Linked DNA regions of Schizosaccharomyces pombe. The gene in region 1 interacts genetically with each later gene. Each region holds a gene or a part of one and is shown on either strand. Other genes may lie near its edges. The genes, in order: ppc1, mis16, hst2 and clr6.

Region 1 (4,191 bases):
CGATTAAACGGCGAAGATATACTACTGAAACTGCAAACAAATTTAAAATGGTCCAGTAAATTTTAGAGTATACTTAATTAGGAAGAATGATGGCCTCGTAATATTGATCGTTCGTTATAACATTGTATTTGGCAATCAACCTGTCACAACCTCTCTTCCCCTTTATATTGTACGACATTAATCGATCCGTTTTTTATTTCAACCCAACTCCTACGTATTTATTTGCAGGTAATAATTAATTTTATTAATTAAGAAAAGATTATCAAAAGATCCTTATCGTCATTCAGTAATGAGTCGCTGCTGTTTAAATTTGCCATTGAGACCAGCATTTGTTAAGCAGCCGGTATGGGGGAAGAGTATATACGGTCCCTTAAGAAGAAGATTTTCATTTTCTCCAATAAATGTTATTAATCATTCACCTTCGGAAACGAAGAGAAGAGACCCAGTAGAAGAACTCAGATACAAACCCCTTACACCTCCTCAAGATCCACGTAAAGTGGCTCCGCCAAATAGTTTTCTAAAGAAAATAAGTCTTATTTATCAAAAATATATCTCTCCTAAACAAAATTTATATTATGAGGCTACTGGTACTGCAAGATACATGTATTTTGAGGCTGCTCGACAAGCTACCCCCGAAAAAAACTCGCTAGGTGCTTTTGAATTTTGGTACCAGAAGTGTGAAATTCCTATGACATTTCAGTCTTGGTTTCAAATAACGCAATTACATTTGTGGATCCTCCATACTCGCATTCGTGGTTTGCCAAAAAATGAAAAAGTTGCCTTTTCACAGGCATTAACTACTCGTTTCTTTGAAGACATGGAACTCAGAATTCATAAAGATTACCGCATTAATAGCAATCGAATTTCTGGTATGTATCTGAAAGATCTGTTTCAGCAACAGACCGGCGCCATTTTTGGTTATGATCAAGGAATGCTGGGAAGTGATGCTGTTTTGGCTACATCCGTTTGGCGTAACCTTTTCGTTGGTCGCCCAGACGTCGACTTAGTAATTCTTGAGACTATTGTTAAATTTATTCGCCTCAATGTTTATCGCCTGTCATGTTTATCAACCGATGACTTTATCAATGGGAAGGGAGTACACTTCGTCCCACCTGAAGAAAGTGCACAAACAAATATTTGATTAATAAATGATTGCTACTCTAATGATTAATAAATTGACGAACGGTCATGTTTATTATGCAAAACCATGAATCTTTTTTGTAAATAATTACTTTGAAAGCTTTTACCATTACGTTAAATTGAAAAGTAATGAGGAGCTTTTGAAATATTTTATAGTAGAGAATGTTTGTCAATTTAATTGAAATCGTAGCATTATGTTGTATTGGAACTAGTATTTTAATAGCAGTTAATACCGATATTATCGATGCATTAATTAGCTACTTCTTTTCGTCTTGCTTTCCGATAAAGCTTTCTTGTTTAGCTTTATTGTATTCCGACCTGATCTGCCACTCCGATATTTCGTCTGCGCTGCATATTCCATATTAGTTACATATCCTTTTTTATACATGATTGATGAATAAGTTTCTTACGCTTTGGTTAAACAATCCTTCATCGTTTTATTTTCACTTCTACATTTCCAGGTTACGCTAAAAGTCCTGCCAGTAGCGCATTTCACAAAATCTTCAATTTCTTTCTGGCAATTTTTTTTTAATAGCTTTTGGTGCTGTTTCCGAAGATCAAATTCCTCTTCAATTGGAGATTTATTCATTTTAGATAATCAGTAAAATGTTGGTAACTAAACCACGTTACCCAACAGAGCGCAAATAAATGAAAATTTTTAGTCTTAAGTTGATTAAAACACAAACTTAAAATTTATTTTAATTTTAGCTTTTCATAAAAGACAAGCACGAGTTGAATAAAAAAAAAAGGCCTTAAGTGTAATACAATCACAAAGTGTCGCGTTTCAGTCGTTTGTGGTGTCGCTATCGTCTACATTGTTCAATAAACAGACCACTACTTGCTGAATTTACAAGCTGCTAGAGAACTGTTTGGTTAGCATTTCAGATTTTGTGAGTTCTCTAGTCCTATCATTCAGCAATAACGCATACAGTTTTTTAAACGTCGTTTGTTTATTTTTGAGCTCATCGTAAGAGAGGCATTTCTGGGTTGCGATACTCTTAGCTATTTAGAATATATGCCAGAAATGGATAAATCTAACGATTTCTTTGAGGAGAATCCTTGTCCTAACTCACTCGGTGATGTCTCAAGTCTGATTGAAGATTTTATAAACCTTCAATCAAACTCCCAAAACATTGCATTTGTTACTAGTGGCGGCACACTTGTGCCTCTTGAGCAAAATACGGTGCGTTTTATCGATAACTTTAGTGCAGGAAATCGTGGTGCAGCATCTGCTGAATACTTTTGCAAGTCTGGATATTCGGTCATTTTTCTGTATAGAAATTATAGTTTAATGCCATTTACTCGACGATATGAAGGTCCCTGGACAAATTTGTTTGAAAGAAGTAATGGCAGTCAGGAGAAGCCTTGGATTGTCAAACAAGAGTTTCAATCGACAGTATTCAATGCACTCAACGAATTAGATACATATACGAAACATCATCGACTGATAATGATTCCTTATACTACACTCACAGAATATTTGTGGTACCTGAAAGCTATAGCTGAACGTTTACAGATAATCGCTTCAAGAGCATTGTTTTATTTAGCAGCTGCTGTTAGTGATTTCCATATTCCACCGAAGGAATTGAGCGAGCACAAAATTCAAAGTGGTTCTGGAAGTAACAAATTAGAAGTCAAAATGCATCCGGTTCCAAAATTTCTGCGTTTCTTGGTTGACACATGGGCTCCTGAAGCTTCTATTATTTCCTTTAAATTAGAAACCGACCCTAGTATTCTGATTGATAAAGCAAGAGTAGCTTTACAACGTTATAACCACCAGCTGGTGATCGCCAACCTTCTTTCAACAAGGAAACGATCTGTCGCGTTTGTAACCTCAAAAACGGTTGAATGGCTTCATTTGAGCGACGATGACATTGTAAAAAAGGTAGAAATCGAGCAATACATTGTTTCGAGGGCAATTTCGTTGCACAAGGAACGAATTCAAGAGTTCGCAAAGGCACCTTAAATTATGTTTATTGACGATTAGTCGATTATGAACTTATAAAAAGTACTAGTTATGTTTCTTATCTGCTTTAACTTATATGAACTATCGGTTTTTCTTTTAAACATTTTACTCATTTATATTGTTAGGGTTTATTATGCAAACACCAGTGGTACTTTTTTATTTCTCTATCATTTTCGTCTTGTTATTTTACGAAGTTGCTTTATAGCATTTGTAGAGGGGTTTACGAAAAAAATGAAAGGCTTTATAAATTGCTAATACGAGCTATGAATTGAATCGTGTACTATTGGATCTGTTGTAATTTTTTAAAAATTGCAGCTTTTTTTTTAGATACTTATTACTGTTGTAGATTACTCAGGTCTGAAGTGTGTTAAAGAATATATTAAAAATGATGATTAGTTTATAAAAATCAATGTCAGGAGTATATAGAAAGCAAAGACTTGAATTTAAAATGCGCAACAGTTATCTTGAATGAACAAAAAATAAATAGTGAGTACCTGTAAGTAGTAAGCGTATATGATTGTTTCTAAAGCCTTCAGTTCTTTTTGAGATCCCATACTTCTTATGAGTCGCTTCAAACCCCATGACTAAAATGCTCATGTTTAATTGCAAGCTCACGTACACAAACAACGGCGATTGTTATATAGTTCAATGAAAAACCTATGAGATTTCAATTACTTTTAAAACTGTTAGAGAATCAGAATGCAAAGGTTGGCAGCTCGAAAATGTCGAGGATAAAACAAATATTTAAAAAGGCTATTATGGCTTTTACAGACATTGGTAAATAATTTTCTTTATAAATATTTTAGTAGTTTTTAATGTATATGAAGTCGCAATGGTGTAGTTGGGAGCATGACAGACTGAAGATCTGTTGGTCATCGGTTCGATCCCGGTTTGTGACACTTTTTGTAAAACAACACAAGTTTATGTAAAGAATTCTTTATACAAAACTGGAAAAAACTATAGAACAAAGCTGCAAACGTTTTTACGATAAAACTGACCTATGACTTATAATCCAGTTCCTCTGCTTCCTATTGAGACATGTTAAGACGGTTAATCATAAGATTCCATTCTGGATGAATTGCACC
Region 2 (4,120 bases), 560 kb from region 1:
TCCCTGATGTTATCCGTTTGTTCAAAAAAAAGAGAGAAAAAGTTTCCTAAAGGCTAAATTTTGCCTTTTTTTACTGATGACCTGTTTGTTCTCAGTTTTGTGATTATTTACGCTTATGCACACCGAAAATTTCATCTTTGAATACTTTGAAGTGTTTGTATTTTTTACTGTCATTAACAAAACCGCATTTGAAGTAGCAGGTTAATAATAATGACTGTTAAGACTGCGGTTCATAAAATTTAATTATTTTGCTTATTGTTTTTTTCAATTTCTTCTGTGCCCCGATTAATTAAGGTGTATCCGACAACCAAGGTTTGGATGCTCGATTATGTAGGCAACACAAAAATTTACATGATATGGATAGATCTTTCATAGAAATACCTCTAAATTTTGATGAATTTACTTTAGCAAGAAAAAAAAAGAATGCAATGTTAAAAACTGTTACAATAATTATAAATATACAATGGGTACCAGAAGTCGCTATGAAAACATCTGAAGTAATAAGATTACGATCAACAACTCAAAACGTGCAAATATACTCCAATTATACTAAATTCCTCTCTTATAATTGATATACTGATATTAATTGCCTCCTCAAAATACTTAGCAAACGCAAGCATTATTCCAAAAAAAAGTCGAGACGAATAACGAGCTAGACCACTGTTGGCATGCATTTTAAGGCAATGCGGTATACAAATTCCTCAGTATATCAAAATAAATAACATTAGAAAGAAAGTACTCATCTGGGAATTTTTTTTTTTTAATTCACAACTATATTTAATAAATATTTTAAATTAAAATCAGTAAATTGCTATGATGAGGTTAAAAGAAATAAGAGACACGATTTGAATTGTACTGTTATCGAATAATTTATCAAGTTAGCATGTTAAAGTTTCCACGACAAGTACCCAAAAGTCTGACTACGTGCTATTAAAGCTAGCTAATCATATAAATTAAAATCAGCCAAAACTCATAGTCATTTCACAAGTTTCTCTTTTCAGCCATTGTTTACATATGAAATTTTACTTAGTCTCCAGAACATCGTTTCTAATACCCTAACCTAAGGTAAAAACCGTCACAACAAATTTACTATATATAGGGTCTGTTCAGTTGATGATTCACCATCATCAGTAGGTTTTAACTTACTTTGTTATATAAGTAAAGTAAAATCAATCCTGAAGTCAAGTATGATGGTTGGAGTCTCCGGACCAAGAAAATGCATCCGTTCCGTCTTCAGCGAAGAATTGAGTGGCTTTCCCGGTCGTTGACTTTTTTCCATGGGTCAAGGATGGGATTGTCTCCCAGACATTTTTAATTAAAAAAAGTTTATATTTGATTAGTTTAGATACGTACCCAAAGTTTGCAATACTACATGATTTGTTTAATAAATTTACGGTGTACTGTAAAACAATTCGTAGAGCCAACAGTATAAATATCCCATTGATGGCTGGGTTCAATAGTTTTATTTTTAGTGTAAATATAATGACAATCTGTTTATCAAAGTATACTGAGATTATAATATTTGTTTTTGCCAAATGGTTTTATAATTATTAGAGCATGATAAAGACGATGTTTGAGGAATTCTTCTCACTATGAATGTCTGTTTTCATGGAGACGTGGCATCAAGTAATGGTTTTTAGAGGCATGTTCAAATTTGTTTTCGCTCATTGAAACTTGTTTTCTATATCGCTGTTCATGAATTTTATTTTATTTTTTTTTTATTTCAGACTTAAGAGTGCGCTAGATTTATTTGGGCATCTTTAAATAATGTAAATTACTTATAACTCCAAAACTTTTAACTTGGCAATCTAGTTTGGGCCATTGTGTAGTTGCCCAAAACATGTCAGAGGAAGTAGTCCAGGATGCACCTCTCGAGAATAATGAACTCAATGCCGAGATAGACTTACAAAAAACAATACAAGAAGGTATGATTAAAGGGAATTCTTCATTAATATATATTATTATGCCGTAATTACTGACGATTATACTCGTTTCAGAATACAAACTTTGGAAACAAAATGTTCCCTTTCTGTATGACTTGGTAATAACCCACGCTTTGGAATGGCCTTCTTTGACAATTCAATGGCTTCCTGACAAAAAAACGTACGTTGCTTGCCAAAGTAGTTAGGCTATGATTATACTGGCCTTTACTTCAAACCATCTCATCAGTTTTCTAACTCGATTCTTGAAGAATACCAGGTACTGATTACTCTATTCAACGTCTTATTCTTGGCACTCACACATCTGGTAATGATCAAAATTATTTACAGATTGCTTCTGTGCAATTACCAAACTTTGATGAGGATACCACCGAGTTTACTCCTTCTACGATTCGAAGAGCACAGGCCACGGGCTCGTATACGATTGAAATTTCACAAAAAATCCCTCACGATGGCGATGTCAATCGTGCTCGTTACATGCCTCAAAAGCCTGAAATCATCGCTACCATGGGAGAAGGAGGAAATGCTTATATTTTTGATACAACTTGTCATGATGCCTTAACTACAGGTGAAGCACTTCCTCAAGCAGTTTTGAAGGGCCATACTGCTGAAGGTTTTGGTCTTTGCTGGAACCCGAATTTACCTGGAAATCTAGCAACAGGAGCAGAGGATCAAGTTATCTGTTTATGGGATGTTCAGACACAATCTTTTACTTCCTCTGAGACAAAAGTCATTTCCCCCATAGCCAAATATCATCGTCATACTGATATTGTTAACGATGTTCAATTTCATCCTCAACATGAGGCATTATTAGCATCGGTGTCGGATGATTGCACTTTGCAAATTCACGATACTCGGTTAAATCCAGAAGAAGAAGCTCCCAAAGTTATTCAGGCTCATTCTAAAGCCATAAATGCCGTTGCCATTAATCCCTTTAATGACTATCTTTTAGCAACAGCCAGTGCTGATAAAACAGTAGCTCTTTGGGACCTCCGTAATCCATATCAACGGTTGCATACCCTGGAAGGACACGAAGATGAGGTATATGGGTTAGAATGGTCACCTCATGATGAACCTATATTGGCATCCAGTTCAACTGATCGCCGTGTTTGTATTTGGGATTTAGAAAAGATTGGAGAGGAACAGACTCCGGAGGATGCCGAGGATGGTTCTCCAGAATTACTATTTATGCATGGAGGCCACACAAATCGCATCTCAGAATTTAGTTGGTGTCCAAACGAGCGTTGGGTGGTTGGAAGTCTTGCCGATGATAATATCCTTCAAATATGGAGCCCTTCTCGTGTCATTTGGGGTCGTGATCATGTTCAGGTTTCTCCTAGGGATCTGGAGTAAAGTTGGCCATAGAAAAAAACCCAAACTCACTTTTCCATCCTTCTACGCTTCATCTGTTTTTTGCAATATTCTTTACAATACAGAGTCATATGGTAATTGACTGCTCTCTTTTTTTCAGCTTTTGTATAATTTAAAACAAATGATCTTCGTCGCCTTGTAAATACATCAAAACTACTGTTATAAATCAGACTACATTTCTATAACACCAGAGATTAAATGTTTTGTTTGACCATGATAAAGTAAAAAGGATAGTAACTATTAATATTATACATAACAGCAAAAAAAATCTATTGAACAACAAAAGGGGGATAATATATCTCAAACTTGTTCATTTTGCAAGTCTGCGAATAGGCGTTTGTATAGTTTCTTCGAAACTTTCGTTCGGCGATTAAGTAAACGATTATTCAGGTGAGATATAAAATTGGTCATAGAAATGAAAATGTAATTTTGACCGCTGGCTGCGAGTAAATAATAAATAACACCAGCGAAGATCAAAAAGTTCTGGAAACTTTTGGACGTAGGCGTAAGTTGGAAAAGTTTCATAAAAAAGTTTTTATGATTTTGAAGTCGTATTAACTTAACGGTCAGGATCAACAAAACAACAACGACAGCTGTAAATGAATAGTTCCTCCAAACTTTTTCTCTGTAAGGAGGTCCTATGCTCAAAACCACTCCAATAAAAATATATTGGAAGCAAGAAATTAAAAACAGAGCAGTTACATCGCTATTTGTAATATTCGTATCTGAGCTATTCGCAGGTGGTGGTATATACCAGGGCTCTCTCCGTACTATCCTTAAGGTTATATATTGAATTATACAAATAAGGA
Region 3 (4,106 bases), 190 kb from region 1:
CTCCATGCACTTTCTGTTTGCCTGAACGAGCTGTAAAGGCTGAAAAGGGTGAAAATCTTCGTATAATGTAGTACATTCTTCAGGGTGTTGAGGATCAGCAGCATTTGTTAGTGCTTGCTCCAGTGAAAATATATAACCCTTTACTGGGGGCTTATTAACTGCAGCTAATATGGAGTCGGCTTCTTGAAAAGCAGCTAATAAATCGTTTTTCTTGGTTTCGTCTGCACAGAGCTGGCAAGCAGGGAATAGTGGATCTAATTTTGAACGCCGAAGACAGTGCTCTATAAGTGCATTACCATATTCACCTAATCTTATAGTCAATGCTTTTCTAAGAGAAACTGGTTTGGGTACTTTAATCGGCTTTGTAGAAGAGGATAGTTGTTGGTCAGGTAAAGGTTCGTTAATAGAAGTAGGAGAAGCATAAGCAGTGCTTATTTCATCCAAAAGGATATTTAATCGTTCAGCTGTCATATGAGGAATAGTAGACTGAGATTTATTGTCATTAACGAGATTATTTTTGTCTAAATTGTACTTTTGCCCTACGGCATAAACTTGGTCTTTATCGAAGGTGACCACTCGTAAAAGAGACAGAATCTTGTAATGGCCGTCTAATAGTAAAACATTTCCAGCAGCGAAAAATTCACAAACCAGATAGTACGTCCAATCGGGGTCTTGATCATTCGCACCACCTCCAAATGTGAAAACGAGTACTCGATCAGTACCCAACTGAGAGACACCAGTTAACCTTCTAGATTTTATATGTTTTCGTAGCTTCGTTACAAACCCAGACAAAGGGGCATTTTCTCGATCAAATTTTGTTAAATGAGCACGAAACCCACTTTCAATAACAATAGAATATTTTGCATCCTTTAACGGGTTAGTAAAAAAATATTTATTACTTTCTACACATACTTGTTTACCAAACTTCAACAAGAAGGTACGCGCATTTAGATCATAAAAGTTATTCAAGCGACACCCAACCACTTGTTCTCGTAATTCCGCAGCAATCGCAGCAATATCTAAAGCGGAAAATCTTTGCTTCATTTACGTCTATAACACCTATCTAAATGAATTTCTGCGTTACAACAAAATGAAGTATAGGCTCTAGTTAGAATGTAAACATGTGTATAACGTAAGTGAAACTGAAGCACTAACAAAGCGCAATGATATCCGCAATATGTAATAAGGAAAATTATAGCACACCATTGCACCATAAAACGGTGTACATTAGCAGCATTAAAATTCTTAGCGCAAATTTGGATTGTTCTCTCAAATTCATTATTTCTTTCCCGACGATGATTCTTTAATCGTACATTTATAGTCGTACATGACACTGATTATAAAGATAAAAAATAGTTAACTAATGATAAACTTATAAAAAACTTTGACACCTAATATGTCAAACTGGTGTGACCAACCCAATAAGTAAAACCAGAAAGTCAAGAGTTATCGTTGCTGAATCTAATCAAGTGAGCCGAAAGTTGATTAATCATAATTTCTGATTACCCCGTATCTCATTTTTTCAACGACATCCAGAAACTCTTAATTGAAAAAGATGGCTCTAAATGTTTACCAAATAACGAGTACTAAAGTCGAATACAATAGCCTTTTAAACAGTATAATGCAGTTTAATGGAGCATCGGTAATGGCGTTTGATATTTTCAACGAGTAAATAATAATGGAAATTTGGCGTACCCACAAACTTTGTGCATTAACATATTGATTTGTTCATATCTGAGAATTTTAAGTGATCCAATTTTTGAAAGAGTTTGAGTTGGGATTTTTAAGGTAAATCGATTATTGGCTTGCTTTGGTTGTTCTCAGAAATTCGACAATGGTGAAAAACACTGTTAAACACGTCGACTCTTCCAAGCATTTAGAGAAAGTTGCATCCTTAATCAAAGAAGGAAAAGGTAATGACTTTTAATTTTCTTTCCTTGACCATACTAATGCGATTTTATCGAAAATAGTAAAGAAAATATGTGTTATGGTTGGTGCAGGGATCAGCACTGCAGCAGGAATCCCTGATTTTCGAAGCCCTGAGACTGGAATTTACAATAATTTACAAAGATTTAATCTTCCTTACGCAGAAGCTGTTTTTGATCTATCTTATTTTCGAAAAAATCCGCGTCCATTCTACGAATTGGCTCACGAATTGATGCCTGAAAAGTATAGACCAACTTATACTCATTATTTTATACGCCTTTTACATGATAAAAGGTTACTACAAAAATGTTATACCCAAAATATTGATACCTTGGAGCGTTTGGCAGGTGTGCCTGACAAAGCTCTGATTGAAGCACATGGCTCTTTCCAATACAGCCGCTGTATTGAATGTTACGAAATGGTAAGGATTGTTTTTGAAAAAGTTAAAGTGAAAAAGCAGAAATTGGTTTTACTGACGGAAAACAAAGGCGGAAACGGAGTATGTTAGAGCATGTATTATGCAAAAACAGGTCCCTAAATGCAACAGTTGCAAAGGTCTCATCAAACCAATGATTGTGTTTTATGGCGAGGGATTACCAATGCGTTTCTTCGAGCACATGGAAAAGGACACAAAAGTCTGTGATATGGCACTGGTAATTGGAACAAGTTTACTTGTTCATCCATTCGCGGATTTGCCTGAAATAGTGCCAAATAAATGTCAACGAGTTTTGATTAATCGAGAACCAGCTGGCGACTTTGGGGAGAGAAAAAAGGATATCATGATATTGGGGGATTGTGATTCCCAAGTACGTGCGTTATGTAAACTATTAGGATGGTCTGATGAATTGGAAAAGTTGATTGATACGAGTGTTGAAACGCTGACAGAAGAAATATCTTTACTTTCTGTTGACTCTACAATAGAAAAGAATGCCTCTGAACAAAAGAAAGACGATAACTCGGTCAATCCTTTCACTAAAATAGAGGAGAAGAAAAAAGACGAGGTGACGCTGTTAGTTTCTGATGATGAATAGTTCAGTTATTCGGGAAATTTTCTATATTGTCATGATTAAAACTAGGAGATCCCTATATTTATTATACTAAGAAAACGGAAATTCACGATTCGGTTTGATGAATATTTGAATCTACACATACGATTCGTTTTCTTTTAAACAAGTTTAAATACTTTTTTTTATTTCAGCAATTTTATAATATTTCCTTCCAGGCGTCCTTTTGATTGCCTCTTAACCATGAATCATATTGCTCTCTTTATGAGTTGTATGCTGGGTTAAACTAATGCGAAAAGGATAACAAAAAGGGGGTTCTGTATACGATCTCGATCAAACTCATGAAGATGCCCTCGCATTTTCGTGAAAATAACTTGCATTTTTTTTAAAATTGGCGTCCATCTATATACGCAATTTGGGTTATGAGAAAGTTGCGCTAGAATAATTGATAATGGTTTCAAATTTACTGCACTGTAATCTAATACAATCTTTGTCGAAACCTTTTTTCTGTTCAGTTTGGAACATATAGTTCTGAAATGGGAGATTATTCATTTTCATTTAATAAAACTTTGAATTATCCAAGAATTGGAAATAGGAATAATTAATCAAATTGTTCTTTTTGTAGTTTCATTCAAGAATAATGCTTCCTTTGAAAAACTAAAGCGTTTTCTACGAATTGTATATTGTAACAGGGGACGGTGTATAAACCAGTTAGTCCATCATCATAACCAGTTCTGATTTGAATTTTGTTCTTGTGGTCATTATTGTTCATAAAATGAACTAGAGATGTAAAGACATAATTCATATTACAGAAAACAAGTATCTAAGCGCTTGAACAATTATCAGTTAATTTTAGAACAATTATTAAATTTATATCTATTTTATCTGCATATATCTATGTACCTTTGGGTAACTTATGAGTTGTACGAATTACTGACTACATGGCTGTCACCTCCTGTTCGGTTTGCTAAGAATTTACCGATTCTAACGCTTCCTTCTACCTAGCTATACAAGATTCATGAATTTGATCTATATGAATGCTTAGCAAATAAATAATTGTTCGAAAGCCAGATATATGATTTATAATTAACGTTTTTAGATTTGACGTCAATAGGGATCTTAGGTCTCAATTTCTTTGTTTTGCCATCTTTTTATACAGGCGTGTTAAGCGGTCTG
Region 4 (4,380 bases), on another chromosome or scaffold:
CTGCTCTACTGGTACTGGTGGTACTTTTGCCGGCGTTACCAAGTATTTGAAGGAGAAGTCCGACGGTCGTGTTGCTTCTTTCGTGGCTGATCCCCCTGGAAGTGTTTTGTATAGCCATATCAAAACGAAGGGTAAGCATCCTGACAACAAGGGTTCTTCATTTACCGAAGGCATTGGTCAAGGTCGTATTACTGGAAATGTCCAACCTGTTTACGATCTCATTGACGATGCTATGAAAATCCCTGACGAAAAATCTATTAACATGTTCTTTCGTTTGTTAGACCAAGAAGGTCTTTTCTTGGGCGGCTCTTCTTGCTTAAATGTGGTCGCTGCTGTTGAAATGGCTAAAATATTAGGTCCTGGCAAGACGGTGGTTACAATTCTTTGTGATTCTGGTCACAAGTATGCCACTCGTTTATTCAGTCGCTCATTCCTTGAAAGTAAAAAATTATTTGATGTAATTGAGCCACAATACAAGAAGTATATTGTACTTCCTTAATTGTTTTGACCTTTTACTTCGGATAGACATATAATTACTACTACCTTGTGATTTCCGTTTCTTCTTTCTTTGTGCGTTAATTTTTTGGCTATTCCTTTTTTTTTAAAACCACAAGTCACATCTAGAGTATAGAATATAAAGTGTTTGTTATTATATGTAATGAGCATTTTCAATTTAATGCTGAAGTCTAATTATGCTGGAGAATTCTTATAAATAAGGGTATTTAAACATAATAGCTTTTATAGTATTCATGATTCAAATAACACAAAAAAACCGAGTATAATGGATTCAAACACCATGAACATACAAAATTTTATATAGGTCTATACGCGCTCATCCATAATCTCTTCTTTCGCAATGTTCTGCTTTTCGGCATTTTCAAACGTAAAGTCACCGGGAGTTTCTAATGTAAGAGTATTTGTTAGCACATTTTTCGATAACCGCTTATACTTACTATGCATTTGAACGCTAGGTGCAAAAGATAAGTTTCTCAAATTTTCGATGATTTCAGAGCTAAATTTGGTCAGCCTCGTAAGAATAAAACTCAAAAGGTAGCATACGTTATCGAATCAAGATACTGCCGAGTGTTATGGTTTTCCATATTGTTTGAAAGAACATTGAGCTTGTAATCGGGACCGTAATATTGTAAATAGTCATTATAAGGAAGGTCTTGGATGGGTTAATAAACAATTTACGTATTGGTACTTACTTTCATCAAGCTCTTCGCCGGCTAAAAGACCAGTTTCATAAGTCCAGACACGGGCAACATTCCGTACAGTATATCCACCTCCTCCAACGCATATCATTGGCAAATTAAAGCTCTTAACAAAATCAACGCACATTGAATGTCCTGTTGAGGGGAATTAGTAAAAACGAGAAACAGTAGTTACTTACCCTTCATTGACAGATTGAAGCAGCCTAGTCGATCACCAGCGAGAGAATCTGTTCCACATTGTAAAATAACAGCTTCCGGTCGAAACCATTGCATTATGTGACTTATAACCTAATTCAGATTGTTAGAACAAAGAAATTTATAAAAAAGACTTACAGGCTTAAATACGCTTTCATAAGATTCATCGTCAATACCATCTCTCAAAGGAACGTTAACAGCATAGTTTTTTCCTGTTCCAATTCCGGTGTCCTAAAATATTAGAAAAGTAAATCCAAATATAAAGCCGCATGCATACCTTGATATGACCGGTTCCTGGAAAATATTCACCGAATTTGTGGAATGAACAAGTCATAACGCGATCCGTAGTGTAGAAAAATTCTTCTACACCGTCTCCGTGGTGAACATCAATATCAATGTAAAGAACACGTTGATGATATTTCAGCAATTCTAAAGCAGCCAACGCGATATCATTAACATAGCAGAAACCAGAAGCTTCACGTTTTTTAGCGTGATGTAGGCCTCCAGCCCAACTTAATTAAGTGGTTAGTTGATCTTCAAAGTACTAAAAAATCCTCAATAACATACTTAATAGCAATTTCTGCGTTTCCCGAGTTAAGTTCTTGAGCAGCACCTAAACCAATGTTAGTTAAAGTCCTATACTCCATTCACAAATTCAGCGGATGCTTCAAAGCCCCTTTTTTGGGAAAAACTTTTATCTTACCAATTGAACCGCCAGCAGAAATTGAACAAAATTCGTACAGCCCACTAAACAATTGTTAGTATAAAAAATTTGATAAACGCACATACTCAAAAACAGGACAATCATCACCGACGTTAACTAAAATCACGGTTATTTATAAATAATCGAAATGAAATCTTACATTTCAGCTGATGCGGTTGAAATTTTTCCATCGTGTCAGGTGTAACTCTCCAAAGAAATTCAATATACTCATCGGTATGACAACGAGTCATGTCATTCCTTGTTGCTCTAACAGGTGTCTTGTATACTTTATTAGTATAAAAAGGAGAAATAGAACTTACAATAACGTTCAACTTCTCATACAAGTTGTAATTAACGACCAGATTATGAACCTAAGTAGGTTAATGATGATAAATAGTTATAGCTTTATATCATACCATGCGAACGCGATGAGGCTTCATTGGATGCTGAGGACCATAGTGATAATTTCCAACATCCTCTATTTCAAAAATTAGCTAGGATCTTACTAGTTTACACGTACCATCATAGAAATAAGAAACCTTTTTCTTCCCGAACCCCATAGTTTCAAATAGGATTTTCTTTCCCAATTATTTAATAAGGCAAACAGTTTCCTTATGTTATCAATTAAAAATGTTAGGTTCGGAGCGCTTTCGCGTAGAATTGTTGCTATGATGGAGTGGTCAGAAGCTGAAGCAGCAGCCTGGTTCTATTGAATATTTCTCCCATCCACGAACTAGTGTTTCAAGATCTTAAATAAGTAACGATTAATTGTTCAATTTAAGTAAAATACTGTTATAACAAAAAGGACTAACCTTGGAATGTCTATTAAAATGTGCTGTATGTTTTTTTCAGTGACAGTTTTTGCATTTTCTCAAATGAGCAATATAATAATTCTTTCATAACCAATCCAATTAACAACGATCGTCAATGTCATTTGATGTTATTATTATACTACTCACCAAATGTTTACATCTACATAATCTAAATCTTGCTTAGTTTCCCAAGTAGAGTAATGTATCAACCAGATAATCATTAAAAAAGTAAATTCTGAATGCAGATCTTTAACAATAATGAAAAAAACCATAAATGCTATAATGATATGAAACCTTAAGAATAACCCTAAATACAAATCGTCGATCAGTATCATAAAGAATTTGGAAGGTCATCAAATAATAAATTTTAAATAAGGAAGAAGATAATAACGGTTATTTAAAATGAAATGACTGCTACCGTGACCTTTTGTAAATGAGCTGAAAAAACTTAGTAAATATACACTTTTTCAATCCAGTAGATTCATCAATCAAATCAATTTCTTTGGATATAGAATCCACCATGTCATCTTCAAATTTGTGATATAATTCAGGTATTTGAAGCTCATGATAAAGCTGCTTTATTACAGCTATGTTTTCAGACCCTGCTTTTCCATAATGAGCACGAAGAAGATTCAGCTGATCCGCAGAGGCAAATTTTTCAGCATAACAAACTAGCCATGTGCATTTATTGTCTTGTATGTCCATTCCCACTTTACCCAAAACCGTGTAATCACCGAAACAATCTAAGTAGTCATCTTGGACTTGGAAATAATAACCAAGAAGTTTTGAAAGCTTTATAGTCGTATCATACGCCTTTTGATTCGAATTGCGAGACAACAATAAAGCACATTTAATAGGAAGGTAAAAGGAATAAAATGATGTTTTATAAGTGATAATAAAGTCATATTTCATTAAATCAAAAGATCGTAACGAGGCTTCTCCGTCTCGTGATGAAAGCAAATCTTCTTGTTGCCCCAACTCGGTGAGAAAAGTAACCTTGAAAGTAAGCTTTTTAGTTGAATTTATTGTAACATACCTCTCGGAAAGTATCCAATAAATCGACATAGTATGGCATATTTCTGAAATACTTTCGAATTAAAAGTGGAATACATGCTTCTAGTAATTGTGACTCATTAATTGCCCTTCGTACACCAACTACCAAATACCAACAATCTAAACCACGTCGTTTGATAGACTGATCCATAATATCATCTGCCATTAAAAAGCAACCTTGCAACTGAACATCCGTCAGTACCCCAGTGATTTTACGTAAACAAATCTGAATTAAAAAACCAGTTTACTTACAATTTCAATTAGCCAACCTAGGAGAGCAGCGTCGCGAAATTCTGCTTCTTCAAGTTCTCGATTAATAAGGCTTGTTAAAGATTGCAAAACTGCCAGTCCTCGATTATTCTTTCCTCCTAACGTATTTCTCTTTATGGACTAAATGAAGGTT

Evidence for each region.
Region 2: mutations in ppc1 (region 1) and mis16 impair growth when combined (synthetic growth defect), as found in Schizosaccharomyces pombe (one study listed by BioGRID).
Region 3: mutations in ppc1 (region 1) and hst2 impair growth when combined (synthetic growth defect), as found in Schizosaccharomyces pombe (one study listed by BioGRID).
Region 4: mutations in ppc1 (region 1) and clr6 impair growth when combined (synthetic growth defect), as found in Schizosaccharomyces pombe (one study listed by BioGRID).

Annotation. Positions count from the first base shown.
Region 1 is NC_003421.2:1,142,006-1,146,196, reverse strand, and holds ppc1 (phosphopantothenate-cysteine ligase), read left to right. Parts: upstream 1-1,963; 5' UTR 1,964-2,155; coding exon 2,156-3,106; 3' UTR 3,107-3,581; downstream 3,582-4,191. Other genes in the region: ubiquinol cytochrome-c reductase assembly protein Cbp3, read left to right, coding at 290-1,141; cytochrome c oxidase biogenesis protein cmc2, read right to left, coding at 1,398-1,488, 1,551-1,729.
Region 2 is NC_003421.2:582,295-586,414, forward strand, and holds mis16 (histone H4 chaperone, CENP-A recruiting complex CENP-A chaperone Mis16), read left to right. Parts: upstream 1-1,831; 5' UTR 1,832-1,840; coding exon 1,841-1,925; intron 1,926-1,997; coding exon 1,998-2,103; intron 2,104-2,175; exon of another isoform or gene 2,176-2,191; coding exon 2,192-3,293; 3' UTR 3,294-3,599; downstream 3,600-4,120. Other genes in the region: SPOM_SPCC1672.11C (P-type ATPase P5 type), read right to left, coding at 3,612-4,120. UniProt on the Schizosaccharomyces pombe protein: Regulatory subunit of the histone acetylase B (HAT-B) complex. The complex acetylates 'Lys-12' of histone H4 which is required for telomeric silencing.
Region 3 is NC_003421.2:1,327,264-1,331,369, forward strand, and holds hst2 (histone deacetylase, Sirtuin family, NAD-dependent Hst2), read left to right. Parts: upstream 1-1,688; 5' UTR 1,689-1,834; coding exon 1,835-1,913; exon of another isoform or gene 1,914-1,915; intron 1,916-1,970; coding exon 1,971-2,347; exon of another isoform or gene 2,348-2,414; coding exon 2,415-2,957; 3' UTR 2,958-3,527; downstream 3,528-4,106. Other genes in the region: ribosome quality control complex subunit Rqc2, read right to left, coding at 1-867, 913-1,044. UniProt on the Schizosaccharomyces pombe protein: NAD-dependent histone deacetylase, which could function in telomeric silencing, cell cycle progression and chromosome stability.
Region 4 is NC_003423.3:848,687-853,066, forward strand, and holds clr6 (class 1 histone deacetylase Clr6), read right to left. Parts: upstream 2,791-4,380; 5' UTR 2,673-2,790; coding exon 2,633-2,672; exon of another isoform or gene 2,591-2,632; coding exon 2,529-2,590; exon of another isoform or gene 2,484-2,528; coding exon 2,433-2,483; exon of another isoform or gene 2,391-2,432; coding exon 2,273-2,390; exon of another isoform or gene 2,230-2,272; coding exon 2,199-2,229; exon of another isoform or gene 2,157-2,198; coding exon 2,113-2,156; exon of another isoform or gene 2,023-2,112; coding exon 1,977-2,022; exon of another isoform or gene 1,922-1,976; coding exon 1,687-1,921; exon of another isoform or gene 1,641-1,686; coding exon 1,548-1,640; exon of another isoform or gene 1,503-1,547; coding exon 1,394-1,502; exon of another isoform or gene 1,350-1,393; coding exon 1,209-1,349; exon of another isoform or gene 1,169-1,208; coding exon 1,060-1,168; exon of another isoform or gene 1,018-1,059; intron 1,013-1,017; coding exon 954-1,012; intron 903-953; coding exon 823-902; 3' UTR 659-822; downstream 1-658. Other genes in the region: cys11 (cysteine synthase), read left to right, coding at 1-499; spo9 (ER farnesyl pyrophosphate synthetase Erg20), read right to left, coding at 3,339-3,920, 3,961-4,161, 4,230-4,367. UniProt on the Schizosaccharomyces pombe protein: Responsible for the deacetylation of lysine residues on the N-terminal part of the core histones (H2A, H2B, H3 and H4).